Regions from separate parts of the Mus musculus genome. Here regions 1, 2 and 4 are each reported to be linked to region 3. Evidence: microRNA targets listed by miRTarBase, many of them from high-throughput screens and not tested one by one. Region 3 holds a microRNA gene; each other region holds the end of a gene's coding sequence.

The links. Region 3 holds the annotated microRNA mmu-miR-466i-5p (UGUGUGUGUGUGUGUGUGUG, at 1,951-1,970, opposite strand). A microRNA usually pairs through its seed, bases 2 to 8, with sites in the 3' UTR of a target mRNA and lowers its output. Matches are read on the target gene's strand: a 7mer-m8 pairs with bases 2 to 8, a 7mer-A1 pairs with bases 2 to 7 and ends in A, and an 8mer does both.
Region 1: miRTarBase lists Trp53i11 as a target of mmu-miR-466i-5p. Seed matches in the 3' UTR shown: 7mer-m8 at 775-781, 8mer at 783-790, 8mer at 785-792, 8mer at 787-794, 8mer at 789-796, 8mer at 791-798 and 18 more.
Region 2: the mRNA of Tns4 is a reported target of mmu-miR-466i-5p. Seed matches in the 3' UTR shown: 8mer at 1,850-1,857, 8mer at 1,848-1,855, 8mer at 1,846-1,853, 8mer at 1,844-1,851, 8mer at 1,842-1,849, 8mer at 1,840-1,847 and 28 more.
Region 4: miRTarBase lists Tnfrsf13c as a target of mmu-miR-466i-5p. Seed matches in the 3' UTR shown: 8mer at 869-876, 8mer at 871-878, 8mer at 873-880, 8mer at 875-882, 8mer at 877-884, 8mer at 879-886 and 28 more.

What each region holds. Positions count from the first base shown.
Region 1 is chr2:93,199,542-93,202,541 of GRCm38, forward strand. It overlaps Trp53i11 (transformation related protein 53 inducible protein 11), which reads left to right. Exons shown (of 8, transcript NM_001025246.2): 8 at 245-2,216. The coding sequence ends at 378. It overlaps Tspan18 (tetraspanin 18), which reads right to left. Exons shown (of 10, transcript NM_183180.2): 10 at 2,219-3,000. Among named protein-coding and RNA genes, the nearest start is that of Trp53i11, 13 kb to the left of the region's middle.
Region 2 is chr11:99,065,539-99,068,538 of GRCm38, forward strand. It overlaps Tns4 (tensin 4), which reads right to left. Exons shown (of 13, transcript NM_172564.3): 13 at 140-2,784. The coding sequence ends at 2,643. Among named protein-coding and RNA genes, the nearest start is that of Tns4, 22 kb to the right of the region's middle.
Region 3 is chr3:85,464,941-85,469,351 of GRCm38, reverse strand. Mir466k (microRNA 466k) reads right to left here and starts at 1,975; the gene lies at 1,854-1,975. All of the region lies in intron 1 of Gm31419 (a long non-coding RNA gene), which reads left to right.
Region 4 is chr15:82,220,494-82,223,493 of GRCm38, reverse strand. It overlaps Tnfrsf13c (tumor necrosis factor receptor superfamily, member 13c), which reads left to right. Exons shown (of 3, transcript NM_028075.3): 3 at 218-1,752. The coding sequence ends at 396. Among named protein-coding and RNA genes, the nearest start is that of Tnfrsf13c, 2.4 kb to the left of the region's middle.

The DNA of each region.
Region 1 (3,000 bases), not on the chromosome of region 3:
GTGTCCTGAATCCACAGCCCAGCCGTTCCCTCCAAGCCTGACACTCAGGATGCACTTCTAGGCACCTGCCACTTGGGGGCAGCAGACTGGCCTAGGCTGGTGTTAGGCTTCTGGAGGTCGTCAGCCTGCAGTCCCACTCACCACAGGGATGGTCGAGGGTATTCAGCCTAGCCTAGCGTCATGATGGGAGAGGCTCAAGCACGTGTCTGCTCCTGACCTTTGCCTCCCCCGACTTCCTTCACAGTGGTCACTGCCACGCTTGCTGAGACGGGCCTCATGTCCCTGGGGACCGTGCTGCTCCTGGCCAGCCGCCTCCTCTTTGTTATTGTCAGCATCTACTACTATTACCAAGTCGGCCGGAAACCCAAAAAAGTGTAGCAGGCTGGGACCTGCCTGGGCCTGGACCTGGGCCCGAGCAGCTGGGGACTTCACTGTCCATGGGTCCTAGACAGGCCTGCAGGCAGGCAGGGTGCACACGCCTTCCTTCCCTCCCAGGCACTCCACGGAGTCATCTTGGGTCTCCTGGGATTCTAGGAGTGACAGACCAGGCTGTGGCCTCTGCACCCCACCCCTCACCCTTGTGCAGGGACAACTCCTTGCCCTGTGTTTCTTGGCCTCTAGACTCTAACAGGCAGAGTCTAGAGTAAGTTTTAGGGTCTGGGCTGAGTCAAGGTGAGTTCCTCTGCCAGGAAGCCCTTTCTAGGAGGTTGTGTCGGCCCCAGCAGGGGCTCTCAGCTTCTCCCCATCCAGAAACCCGATGTGTGAGTCCCTCATCACACACGCACACACACACACACACACACACACACACACACACACACACACACACACACGGTGTTTCTAGAGATCCAGTTGAGGACATCTAGCAAGGGGAGTGACTGCCTCCCTTGGGCCAAGTTCCCCAGCCTCAGCCTGCACATCTCTCTCTTTGGCCTGCTGGAGGGTACTCTGATTCTCTGGCTGGCCGCCTGCGTCCCAGAGCACCAGAGTCCCTTCCCGACAGGCTAGGGTTAGGCAATGTACCACAGGCCTGATAGTCCCTGGCTCCTAGCTGCCCATAGGCTCCTAGTGCATGAGGAATTCTGAGGAGAGGACAAGTGGGGACATTTCCTCGGCATGGCCTCCAAGGCCTGCATGGCTACACACCTGGCTCAGTGCCTCCTCCAGATCCCCTCCTGAGGCTGCCCCAAGGCCTACGGGTTAAAGCCAATAGCTGCTCACATGCAACAACGGAAGGAGATTCAAGAGTCTGCCATCCCTTAGCAGCCCCTAAGTGGGCCTCTAGAGCTGAAGACACACCCCTGGTGCCACCAGCCTGTGTGGCCCCTCCCCTTGGCCCTAGCTCCCAGCACCTCCCTACCCTTCAGCAGCAAGCACACTAAGAGATTTGGCCCGAGGCTTCTCCCTTCTGCAAGGGGGTGGTCCCCTATACCCGAGGAATCTTTCTCTAGGGCACCTGGGCTCACAGCCTCCCTGGGCTCGGTTGTTCCTGCTGCCAAGTGCTCTGTGACCATGGCCTTTGCCTAGTGGAGGGAACTCAGTGGAGGATGTGCCCAGCAGTGGCCGGGGCTGCTTCTGTAACCAAGGTCTGGCAGAGTAGCGATTCCCTGCGTGTTCAGGAAGGGCCCATTGTGTATACCTGCCTCTTGTCACTGGCTTGGTGCCAGTCCCTCAGTCCCACCTCTTTACTCGGACCATGGACCCTGCCACTGCCAGCTCTTAGTACAGTCCCAACTACCGTAGACCAGGTGACATTTGTTGACACCATTCTCAGAGGTGTTGAAGATTTATCATCTTGAATCCTCCACAAATACAGATACAGTCCCAAGGGAGGTAGTCGTAGAAATGGAAGACGCCAGCCCTGCGCAGCCTGCAGGGACATCCGCCAGGCTTCCCCTCAGCAGCAGGAGCCCAGGTCACCCTGGTTAAACTGCAGTGATACATTTAGGTGGGTGGGGTCAAGGCATATGTGGCCTCCGGGAGACACCTGCTTGGAAGGAGGCAGTGATGGAGATAGAGCCCCACTCTGAGTCTGGGCTCAGAGTGCCCTGACTGCTCTCCCCCACCCCATCCCCAGCTCCTCTTGTCATGCTTCTGCCTGGCCCCCAAGACTGCCTCTGTCATGGTCACTATTTATTCTTGGTCCCTTTTTCTTTTTGTAAGAAACAGTCACAAGAAAACAACAACAACAACAAAAAACAACCAATGAGAAACAATCTGCGTGGTGTCCTGTTTTATATTACAAAATTTCTCTTAATATAGAATATAAAAAGGGGAGACTTGGGAGATACAATGATAAATTAGCTCTGTTTCCTACTGCAAGGGACATTTACAAATTCCAAAATAGACTTTAGCATATGACGTGTGTGTGTGTGTGTGTGTGTGTGTGTGTGTGTGTGTGTGTGTGTGTGTATCAGAGTTCCTGGGGATGAAGGTGCTGGGTTCAGAACCCAGGTAGGCCAGGGGCTTGGGACAGGATAATGGGGAGCATGAGCCACAGGTCCAGTCTTAGCTCCTCGCCTGTCAGATACAGCTGTCCCTTAGGCCACTGCTCTGGGACAGGAAGTGGCTGTTCTGCTCACTACTGGCTGAGGCATCTTGGGGTGAAGGAAGAGCTCCCCTCCATTCCTCTGGGAGTACACAGAGCAGCTCACCAAGCCCCACCAGGATGACCTCAGACAGCCTTGCAATGGCTACCAGCAAGCTCAGAGGGTGAAGACTGTGTCTGTCTGGCCCCATGAGGATGCTGAGAAGCTGGGTTGAATCAGGGCTACTTGGGAGCGCTTCAGCGTAAGTGTGGAAAGTTCTGGTGAGGGACTCTGATCTGCCCTGGAATTGCCTAGGCTCCATATCTGGCTTCTCAGTCCCTCCCTGTCCCAGCCCTGCCCATCTCTGGAAGCCTGGGCTAGTTCTGGGTGGCAGCCGCTGTGGTTGGGCTAAGTCCTCAACCTAGCCATGAACTTCCAATCAATAGCCAAGCCATTTGCCTTCCTAGACAGT
Region 2 (3,000 bases), not on the chromosome of region 3:
GGGCGCTCTAACGCCCTCTTCTGGCCTCTGTGGTCAATGCAAAATGCGCATGGTGTGTCCTGGTATGTTACTCTCTGCTCTGTTGGGTCCCCTTCTCTGCTCAGGACTCAGGAGACAGCTCTGAATGTCCAGAACCAGCTATGGTGCAAAAAACTTTATTTTCCATGAGGCACACAGGGAGTTGTGGAGGACTCTCCCATTCAGCCTAGAACTGGCACTACTAACTGGGAAAACTTTGCTAACACCCTGCAGACCCCGGCAGTGGCACAGAGCCTGATCCCACACTGGGAAGGCCGGTCTTGGCCTGTACCACTGACCTAGCATCCCCCCACCCCCACCCTTGGGTCTGATTTGCTTTTCTGACATTGAAATCATCATCCCTCAGGACTGACCTTGGCCAATGACAATGTTGCTCTGTAGGCTGATAGCGGGCAGGGACAAACACTTGCTTCACACTGAGTTACAGTGGGCTTCTTCTGTGAGCTTCCCCTTGCATGTCATGGAACGGTCTCCTAAGGAGGCAGGCGGACTGGACCAAGAGCAACAAATGCTGCAACAAATGGCTTATGCAAGGCTGGCAGGGTGTGGGAGGAAAAGGGCCCAGCTTCTTTAACCAGCTGGGAAAGCTGCCTGTCTGCATGCTTGACTCTCTGCTTCCCCCTTGTGGTTGTAAGGTTGGTGATGCCACATGGTTATGAGTGTGTGTGTGTGTGTGTGTGTGTGTGTGTGTGTGTGTGTTGGAGCTGGAGGAGGATCCAGCAAGACTGGAGCTGGGGCAGAGATATACTTGTCTCTGTACTATAGCAACAGGGTCTCTCTTCTCCTACCCACCAGATGTGGATTCCTTGAGCATTGCCAGACAGCTGTTGCTTACCAAGAAACTGAAAGCAAAGTTTGGGATGATGTTCATTTGTAATGGGTGGGCAAGGAGGGATTAGACATGAAGAATGTGAACATTGCTGAGTCTTTTTTTTTTTTTTCCAAGACAGGGTTTCTCTGTATAGCTCTGGCTGTCCTGGAACTCACTCTGTAGACCAGGCTGGCCTTGAACTCAGAAATCTGCCTGCCTCTGCCTGCCTCCCAAGTGCTGGGATTAAAGGCGTGCGCCACCTCTGCCTGGCCCTGCTGAGTCTTTTCTAATCGTGGGTACAAGGGTCTTCTACTGAAAAAAGCTAGCCTTTAGAATCCTGATTCAACATCACAGAATAATTGATGAGGTGAGACAAGAGTCCACGCTTGTAACAGCAGAGTCCAGGGATCTTTCTATCATGCTCTTGGGAAAAAGATTCCAAGACCTTGGCAAATTACACCTAAAAATCCAAGAAATCCAGGATGTTCCACCAGACAGGAGTCAAAAAACTGCAGCAGATAGATCTCAAGATCATGAACATCATGAATGAGAACATGAATGAGAACATCATGAATACTGCATTAGAGAAGGCCTCACCGACAGAACCTTCATTGCAAAGCAGAAGATGCAGGGATGTGAAAACTCACCCCTTTTCTGCTCCCAGACTTGACTCTGACAACCTTGGGGCAGGCTGAATTTGATGCCCCTTTCCCCAAAGCCAGCTGAAGTGGGTTGCATTATAAGGTGTATGCTCTGAGGCAGCCTGGTCTGCTCTGGCTGAGGCCCTTGACCTGGTCCCCTCTCCATCATAGACTGAACCTTGTAGGCTCTTGCCCATTCAGTACCCTCTTCCCACAGCAGGTCTTTGTGGAGCGATGCCCCCAGCTCCGTGTTGGAGTGTGGTCTCTTCAGGTAAAGGCTTTGAAGACCATTGGCTGAGATTTATGAAAACCTTAATCCCACTCCCATTGTGTGTGTGTGTGTGTGTGTGTGTGTGTGTGTGTGTGCGTGTGCACACACGCGCACGTGCATGCCTTTCTGTCTCTTTCTCTCAACAGGGTCTCATGTAGCTTAGACTGCCTTAAACTCATTATATAGATAAGAATGACCTTGAACTTATGATCTTCCTGCCTTGTAGTGCTGGGATTACAACCATTGACCATTGAGAATGGTTTGTGGGGCTGGTGATCAAATTCAGTCCCGTTCATGTAGGGCAATCAGTCTACCAACTGAGCTACACACATCCTCAACCCCAAACTTTTAAATCTCTGGGCCAGTGGATCCAAGAGGCCCTCAGCAAACCGAGAAAAGGAACAGGTGTGGGGAAATAGAATCTGTCCCCAAACTCCGCGAATCAACACCAGGTGCCAGCCAGGAAATCGATGGTTCTGATCCAACACCTGCTGTTTACCACAAGGCAGGGGTCATAGGTCTCTGGTACAACCTACCATGTAGGGAGTGCTCAGGGAAATGAAGCCAGACGGTCCTTGCAGACAGTTTTTACATAAGGGATCTTGGATGTGGGTGGGCTTCAGTAGTATGGAGGAACACACTAAAGACTTCCAGCCGAGTGTCCAAGGAGCGGCTGTCTTAAGGACGGGTGTCTTTATAATCGAAGAGACGGAGGCTCCAGAGTCAGGTGAAGGTTATTGCTGAAGTCACATCAGGTTCAAAGGGTTCAACTTGATCAATCCAACTTGAGTCCAAGAGATAGGTTTGTCAAGGAGGCCACAGTTCCATGTCCTGGGCAAGTCCCTTGAGATGTCAGAGAAGGCACACAGATGGCACCCTTCTACATCCTTTCTGTGTCCTGAAGCAGAGCAGTCACTAGGCTGATGACCTGGGAAGCTGGCTGGACCGCATCGTACTCTGCGAAGAGGTGGCACACGTTCTCTTGTGGTTCTGTCTGGCTCTTGGCCACAAACCCAAAGATCCTGGTGAAAGAAGACAGTCTGAGGGGATGTGGGCTCGAGAGACATCATGCTAAGGGGAGGGTTGGATGGGGAGGGCACTCAGCCTGAACCTAACTACCGCTCTCCAAGCCAACTGGCTTCAGTGTCTCCTGTGCGTGTATGTGCATATGTATGTGTGTATGTATGTATGTGTGAGACGCACATGTTTGTGTGGAGTTAGCATGTGTCTGTGTGTGA
Region 3 (4,411 bases):
TGGATCTGGTGTGCTCTCTCTCTCTCTCTCTCTGTTTCTTCCCGAATCAGTGGCTTTAGATACACCATCGCATTATCTAAAACCTCCCTCCTTCCCTCCTCATCCTGCCTGCTCCCCCATCTTCTTAATTGGGGTCAATCTTTCCAAGTCTCTCAGCTCAAGGGAGGAAGTAGTATCTGCTGTAGCAGATGGTCCTACATTCTGGTGACATCCTAGCTTTCCAGGTATCCCTTGGAAACAATCTTGAGTTTGTAGCCTCCCAACAATATGAAAAGTTAGACTTAGAAAAAAAAATGTTTAAAAGGAAGTAAATAAATATTTTTTCCTCTGCTATTCATATAAATATTCTGAGATACAATAATAATAATAATAATAATAATAATAGCCTGAAAATACCCTGGGTGTGACCAGTTAGTTGAGAGCTGGCAGTGTGTGTGTGCCCTGTCAGCTGCAGGGTGATAGCTAGGATTTAATTGCCCTTCCTAAGATGCAGCTCAGTAGAGTGAGGTGAACTAGAGTCTTTCTATATACATGTCTCTGAGGACAAGACTCACAACAGCTTCCACGTTACCCAGGACCCAGTTGGACCGTGGACACTCAGGCTTCACCACAGACCTCCTGGCCTTATTTCCTGGGGGTTGGTGTGCACAATCAGCTCCAGGAGAGCCAATCAAGTCCTTGTGGATGTCATGTCTCAGTGTCCTCTTTATTAGGATGTCACAGGTAAATTCCTGTGGCTGGTGCCAAGACAAACTGCCTAGAACATTTTATTTGCTGGCTTGCTCTGATTAAAGTGGAGAACGCACTGCACTTTCTCGTTTGTGGTCACCTGCTAAATCTTTACCTTATTTCTGGTGTTGCCTAACACAGCGTCTCATACACAGCAGAAGAGAAAGAGTCACTAAATGAATGAATGAATCTATTTCCTATTTCCTTCGAAATTTGAGCCTCTGCACAGGCTGAGATGTACTGGCGTGCTTTGTGTTGTTGTTGGAGGTGGAATCTGGGGTCTTGTATATGCTGGGCAAGTGTTTCATCATTGAGCTATAACCCAAGAGCTAAAAAACTTGTTCCGGTGGCATTAGGGTAGCAGACAATTTTTGGGGAAATGAAGTTTGTTTCCAGAAGGCCTAGGGCTGTGGAATCCTGGGTATAATGGATGCTTAGAAGAGAAGAGATGACTTCAGGTCTCAAGGACTGAGGACATGTCCCTAGTTTTCAGTGACTGGCTTTTATACCACCAGAAGCTCTGCACACTCTGTACTGACCCTTTTCCTGTGAACTTCCCTGTGTAACATTTGTTCCTCTGTTTTATCAGCTGAATGATGGAACCTCACAGCCAAGAACTTTGAGAGGTCAAAAGGACCTGGCTGCTTCCTGCAGGTGGCAATGGCTTCCTTTCTTCTTCAGCCTTTAGACAGTTTGGATTTCAAATTATTCCATCACTTTCTAGAACATTCCAGATCCAAGCTCTCCTCTCCTATCACAGATGTATTCTGCAGCGCTGGGCCTCTCTACTGCATGTGGTTGTGGGAGAAGAAAGCCGCTGAGGTAGTTGAAGCCATGTTTAGCTTTTAGTTCTGTGAGGCAAGAGGGCCAGGACAGAGCATTTCCCCTTCCCTGTCAAGATATCAGCACCTGCTTGGGAAGCCAGAAGATGGAGGAGTAAAAAAGCTCCTGTTCCTCGGGGGCTTGCAGGTAAGGTCACGGCCAGTGCAGAGGTGCCAGTCTTCTCCTGCCCTATAAGGCTGCTGCTACCTGTGAAAGATCAGTGCAGTTGCTTACCTGTCACCTAGGCCAGATGGAGACACAGCCATCGGAGTCACAATTAGTAACACCTACTCACCATACACACACATGCACATGCACACATATACACATATATTCACATACTCACACACATGCACATGTACAAACATATACACACACATACTCACATGTACATGTACACACACACACACACACACACATATATATGTATATACACACCTGCACACACACACACACACACACACACACACACACACATATCAATAGAGAACATGCATATACACGTACATGCACTCATGCACATGCACACCCATGTGTATATGCACACACATACATACACATATACACATATGCATGCACACACACACATACACTTATTTCTATAGGAGGGTGTACATGAATGTATATCACATGCACACATGTATATGTGTGTGAATATAGGTGAATATACAGCCCCTCCCATCCTGGAAACTAGCACATTCATATAAGACACCATAATACAGCTTTTCAATATTTTCTTTTCTGTAAGAAAGTAGGGAATTGACTGAAGTCCAGGGCTGTTGCAGTTCAGAAGTTCGGCTCTTTATCTAAATGTGGCCCTGAGAGTTAGGCAGCAGATGGAGGTAACATGGCAGCTTCCAGGGCTTGGAGTCAATGACTTCAATGAACAAAAACAGACACTTTCTTTTACTCGCTCCATTGAGAACATGACCACACATTCCTGGCTCACAGGAGACCCCTAAATCTGGAGGCCACTCCACGATGTCTCCTCATCCTTAAAGTAGAAAGTGGGACTGCGGAATCTGTCATGTGCTCCATCTTGGGCCACTGATGGGGTCTGTGTGAGATGAGATCTGATTTGCCTCGGTTATTCTGGGATGCACATTGGCTACTCTGCCCACTTCATCCATTCTGAGCTACTACCAATCTCCATCCTTACAGGCAGCAGCCAATTTGAAACGTACAGTTGTATACTCCCACTTCAGGTTACTTTTGCCAACACATATTACCTTATGTTTATTTGAGTTAAGTTTCGTCTGCCTGCAGGCTGCACAATCCCCCAAAGTGTTCCGATGCACCTGGAATTTCTTGCAAATCTTCTCTGTTTTTATTAGCCACAACAGTTTGGAACTAGTTGAAACCTCTGGGAAGAGATTAGACAACAATTACTGCCCGTTGCTCATGTAATGTCTGGCCAGGTACATGAGCCAGCAGGCCTTGCTTGGCGGGGTGGGGGTGGGTGGGCATGATAGCATTTCTATCCACTGGTCTGTCTTTTGAACTCTCAACTCTGGACAGGTACCAGGGAGCCAGCCTATCCTTGGGGTGTATGTCTACACAGGGGCATAGAGCTGTCTTATTTACAGGTTTTAGAAGCTACTGCTCTGGAGCCAAGGGAATGTGTGTTATCAAGGCCCACTCTGTCTGGTCCCCTTGGATATTACAGAAAGAAGGGACAGAAGAAGAGAGCCGAGGGAGGGGAAGGAAGCTTGCAGCACTGCTCGCTATGCTGGGTTCTGTAAAATCAGGTGATTAGACATGGGAGGAGGAAGGACAGAAGTATCACCCTTCGGACTCCTCTGGAGAGGCTGAGACATCACCATGGTCACATCCTGGAATCTGGGAATGAGGACTGGTTGAGGCTGGAAGCCACTGTCCTCAAGACCAGGTAGGACATCAAGGACCAGTTCCACGAGCCAGGATGGAGGAGGTGAAGCGGGCTGCTGCTTGCGGAAAGCAGCTTCTGTGAGCAAGGCTGGTGTGTGGGCAGCAGCTTAGGCTGAACGGATCCCAGAGCGTTCCAGCGAGCTAATCTTGTCAGCCTCAAGCTGTTCCACAGACAGTGGGTGTGAATCCAAAGCCATCTTAGATGCTCAGCTCTCAAATGTTTCTTTTAAGAAAATAAAAAAAGAGAGATTGAAGGTACACCAGACCCAAATGGGCCAGTTACCTGGGAAGGTTAGACTTGTGAGCTGTGAAGTGCAAGTATGCAGATGTTAGAGACGATGGGATGAGATGTGTGTATGGGGGTGGATGTCTCTTCTCTGTCAGCTATATCCCTGGATGAGAGTGTCTGTCTCCTTCTGCCTCAAGGATACTGTATATATCTGCTCCACGTGTAGAAGCAGAAGTCAGTGGTATCCAGTCTCCAGCCCTGGACTCGTCTTCTCTCCTGTTGTCTCTGCTTTCATAGTCAGTTGACTGTGCCTGCTTAAACTGTGCACATATAGAAACTAAATCTTGAGGAAGGAGGAACCCTAGGAGAGTAATATAATCCTGATCCTGACTTCTAATTAATCTCTATGGGGAGAAAATATCTTATGTCTGTATGCATGTGGCAACTGTCAGTAATAAATTTGATGACCTATAACTTGGCAGGAAATAGGAGGTAGGACATCTGTGAGGTAGAAAGGATTCTGGGATAGTGCCAGGTGGGAGATACACTGGGGAAGATGTGACAAGACAGATACCTGGTACCTGAGCACAGGTAACCAGCTATGTGGCAAAATGTAGTTGAGCATAGGTGGGTTATTTTAAGTTCTGACCTAGTTAGAGAAGAGCCTAGCTGTATGGCCAAGGTATTGTAAACATATTTTGAGTCTGTGTCTTATTTCTGGGAGCATGGGAATGGGAGGAAGAA
Region 4 (3,000 bases), not on the chromosome of region 3:
AGGTTATGCCCTGTGGGCTGACCAGACACCCCTCTCCCTCACCTCATCTTATCAAGTCTCTGAACTCAGCACTTCCTGTGTTGAAGACCTGTCACGTGCTGTTCCCCGTCCTCCTCCTAGGGCCGTCCCAGAGGAGGCTTCTAGAACGGGCGTGGGGGGGGGGGGCTGTGATTCCGTCCTTCCTGCCTTATCTTACCTGCTCCCTCTCCCACCCCAGAGTCCCTGGAAAATGTCTTTGTACCCTCCTCAGAAACCCCTCATGCCTCAGCTCCTACCTGGCCTCCGCTCAAAGAAGATGCAGACAGCGCCCTGCCACGCCACAGCGTCCCGGTGCCCGCCACAGAACTGGGCTCCACCGAGCTGGTGACCACCAAGACAGCTGGCCCAGAGCAATAGCAGCAGTGGAGGCTGGAACCCAGGGATCTCTACTGGGCTTGTGGACTTCACCCAACAGCTTGGGAAAGAACTTGGCCCTTCAGTGACGGAGTCCTTTGCCTGGGGGGCGAACCCGGCAGAACCAGACACTACAGGCCACATGAGATTGCTTTTGTGTTAGCTCTTGACTTGAGAACGTTCCATTTCTGAGATGGTTTTTAAGCCTGTGTGCCTTCAGATGGTTGGATAGACTTGAGGGTTGCATATTTAATCTCTGTAGTGAGTCGGAGACTGGAAACTTAATCTCGTTCTAAAAATTTTGGATTACTGGGCTGGAGGTATGGCTCAGCAGTTCGGTTTGTGTGCTGTTCTAGCCGAGGACTCCAGTTGTTCAGCTTCCCGGAACTCAGATCTGGCAGCTTAAGACCACCTGTCACTCCAGCCCCTGGAACATCCTTGCCTCCAAAGGCACCAGCACTCATTTGCTCTAGAGCACACACACACACACACACACACACACACACACACACACACACATATGCATGCATGCACACTTAAAAATGTCAAAATTAGCGGCTGGAGAAATTCATGGTCAACAGCGCTTACTGTGATTCCAGAGGATGAGAGTTTGATTCCCAGAATGCACTGCGGGTGGCTCATTACTGAGCATAACTTTTGCTTCAGGGGACCTGATGCCTCTGGACTTCATGGGCATCTGTATTCACGTGCACATCCTACACACACACACACACACACACACAGACATACACACACACACACTCTTTTACAAATGATAAAATATAAGATGGGCATGGTGGTACACACCTTTAATCCCAACATTGGGGAAGCAAAGGCAGGCAGGTAACTGAGTTGGAGGCCATCCTGGTCTACATAGCAAGTTCCAGGCTAACCAGAGCTAAATGGTGAGACCAAGTCTCAAAATAATACTCCCCCCCCCAAAAAAAAAACTTTTAAATTTTGATTTTTTTCTTTTATTATTATTTTTTATATTAATTTCATGGTGTTTAGAAGTGGTATACTTAGATGGTGACTAAGAGGAGGTAAAGCCATCAGGACTGAGCCCCTAACATACAAGGAGAAAGCAGAGACAATGAACACGCCCCTCTCCTGCTGTGTGCCAGCTCTGGACCACCAGCCAGAGGGCAATCATCAGATGTGGGCCCTAGAACCTTCAGAGCCGAAAGCTAAATCAATCTCATTTCTTTGTAAAGCTATTTAGCCTTAGGTGTTTTGTTACGGTGATATAAAATGGACTAACACAGGCACTATGAGTAAGAAGCTTTTCTTTGAGCTGGGAAAGGTACTGTTAAACCAAAATTAATCTGAATAAAAAAAGGCTAAGGGGAAGACACTTACTCTGTGCCTGGGTGCTGTGTTTCTTTAACTCCTGCTGGGGGCGCTGTTCTGCTTTGAAGATGACTCAAGTGGCAGCAACAGCTGATGGTCTGGCTGTGGTATCTGGTACAAGCTTCTCTGTAATTTTATATTTCACCATATTGGGGACCGGACCCGCACTAAACGGCACTCTACAGTGAGCGTTGCCCTAACTGTAAGATCAGTTTTTAGAATAAGCAGGGACTAGGGGAGAGGCCTCGGTAGGGTAGTGATGAGTCTCGGTTGTCTGTAACCCAGGAAGAACCATGGATTTCTTTGACCCAGTCTGCTAGGACGTAAGATGCCATCTTCACCGTGATGGCTGTTTCTAGAGACCTGTGATTCATAGGCAGACGTCTGTAGTCTCAGGTTGGAGTCTAAATTTAAGCAGATGGAACATCCTGGTGGTAATCTCCCTCCGAGACCCGCTGGAGGCCGCACTCAGCAGTGTGGTGTGCTGAGCAGTGACCTGTACAGCACTCCTTCACAGAGAGGCCAAGGCAGGCCTGTGGCTCTGCAGCAAGCCGAGCTAAGATGGTCCTTTGTGTTCCCTCTGTGGACTGCTCTCCCCTTGAGCTGGGCTTTCTCAGCCAAGCTGGCCCCAGGCTCAACACCACCCTTGTGGAAGCTGTCCCCTGACAGTGGGGCTCTTTGTTCTGAAGCCACTGATCCTCTCTACCCAGTACCTGGGGTACATTGCACACTCAGAGGGAGCCATCATGTCTCCTGCCTGCCCTCCTGCTCCCGGGGAAGCTGCACTCTAGCATGTATGGGAAGGAGCACTGACCTGCGAGTCAGAGGTGGAGTCCTTCTGCAGAGTCTTGTCTGAGTTCTGACCCTGCCTTCCAGTCTCTTTGAACCCACAGCTGCCTGGCAGCACTTGGCTCTCCTGTGCAGTCCCTTCCTAGTTTAGAAAATGGTACCCAGTGGCAGTTTAGAGCGTCCAGAACCTGGACATTTATTTCCAAGATGTTCTTCTCTCCAGGGGTTGTGTGAGTAGGGTGAGATCCGATGACAACAGCAGGTGACAGGCATCAGCCAGGCCATTGCTGTCCACTAGTGCTAGCCTGGGGCTGGAGGAGTCTGAACTGACCCTGGCTACCTGTATTAGCTATAGCCAGGGTCTAGGCTCTGACGGCGAAAAAAAGCTAGTGAAACCCCCATGGGGTCATGGCATACAAACCTTTGGCACCCCTCCATCCCAGCTAAGCGGCTGGCTGGTACACAGTT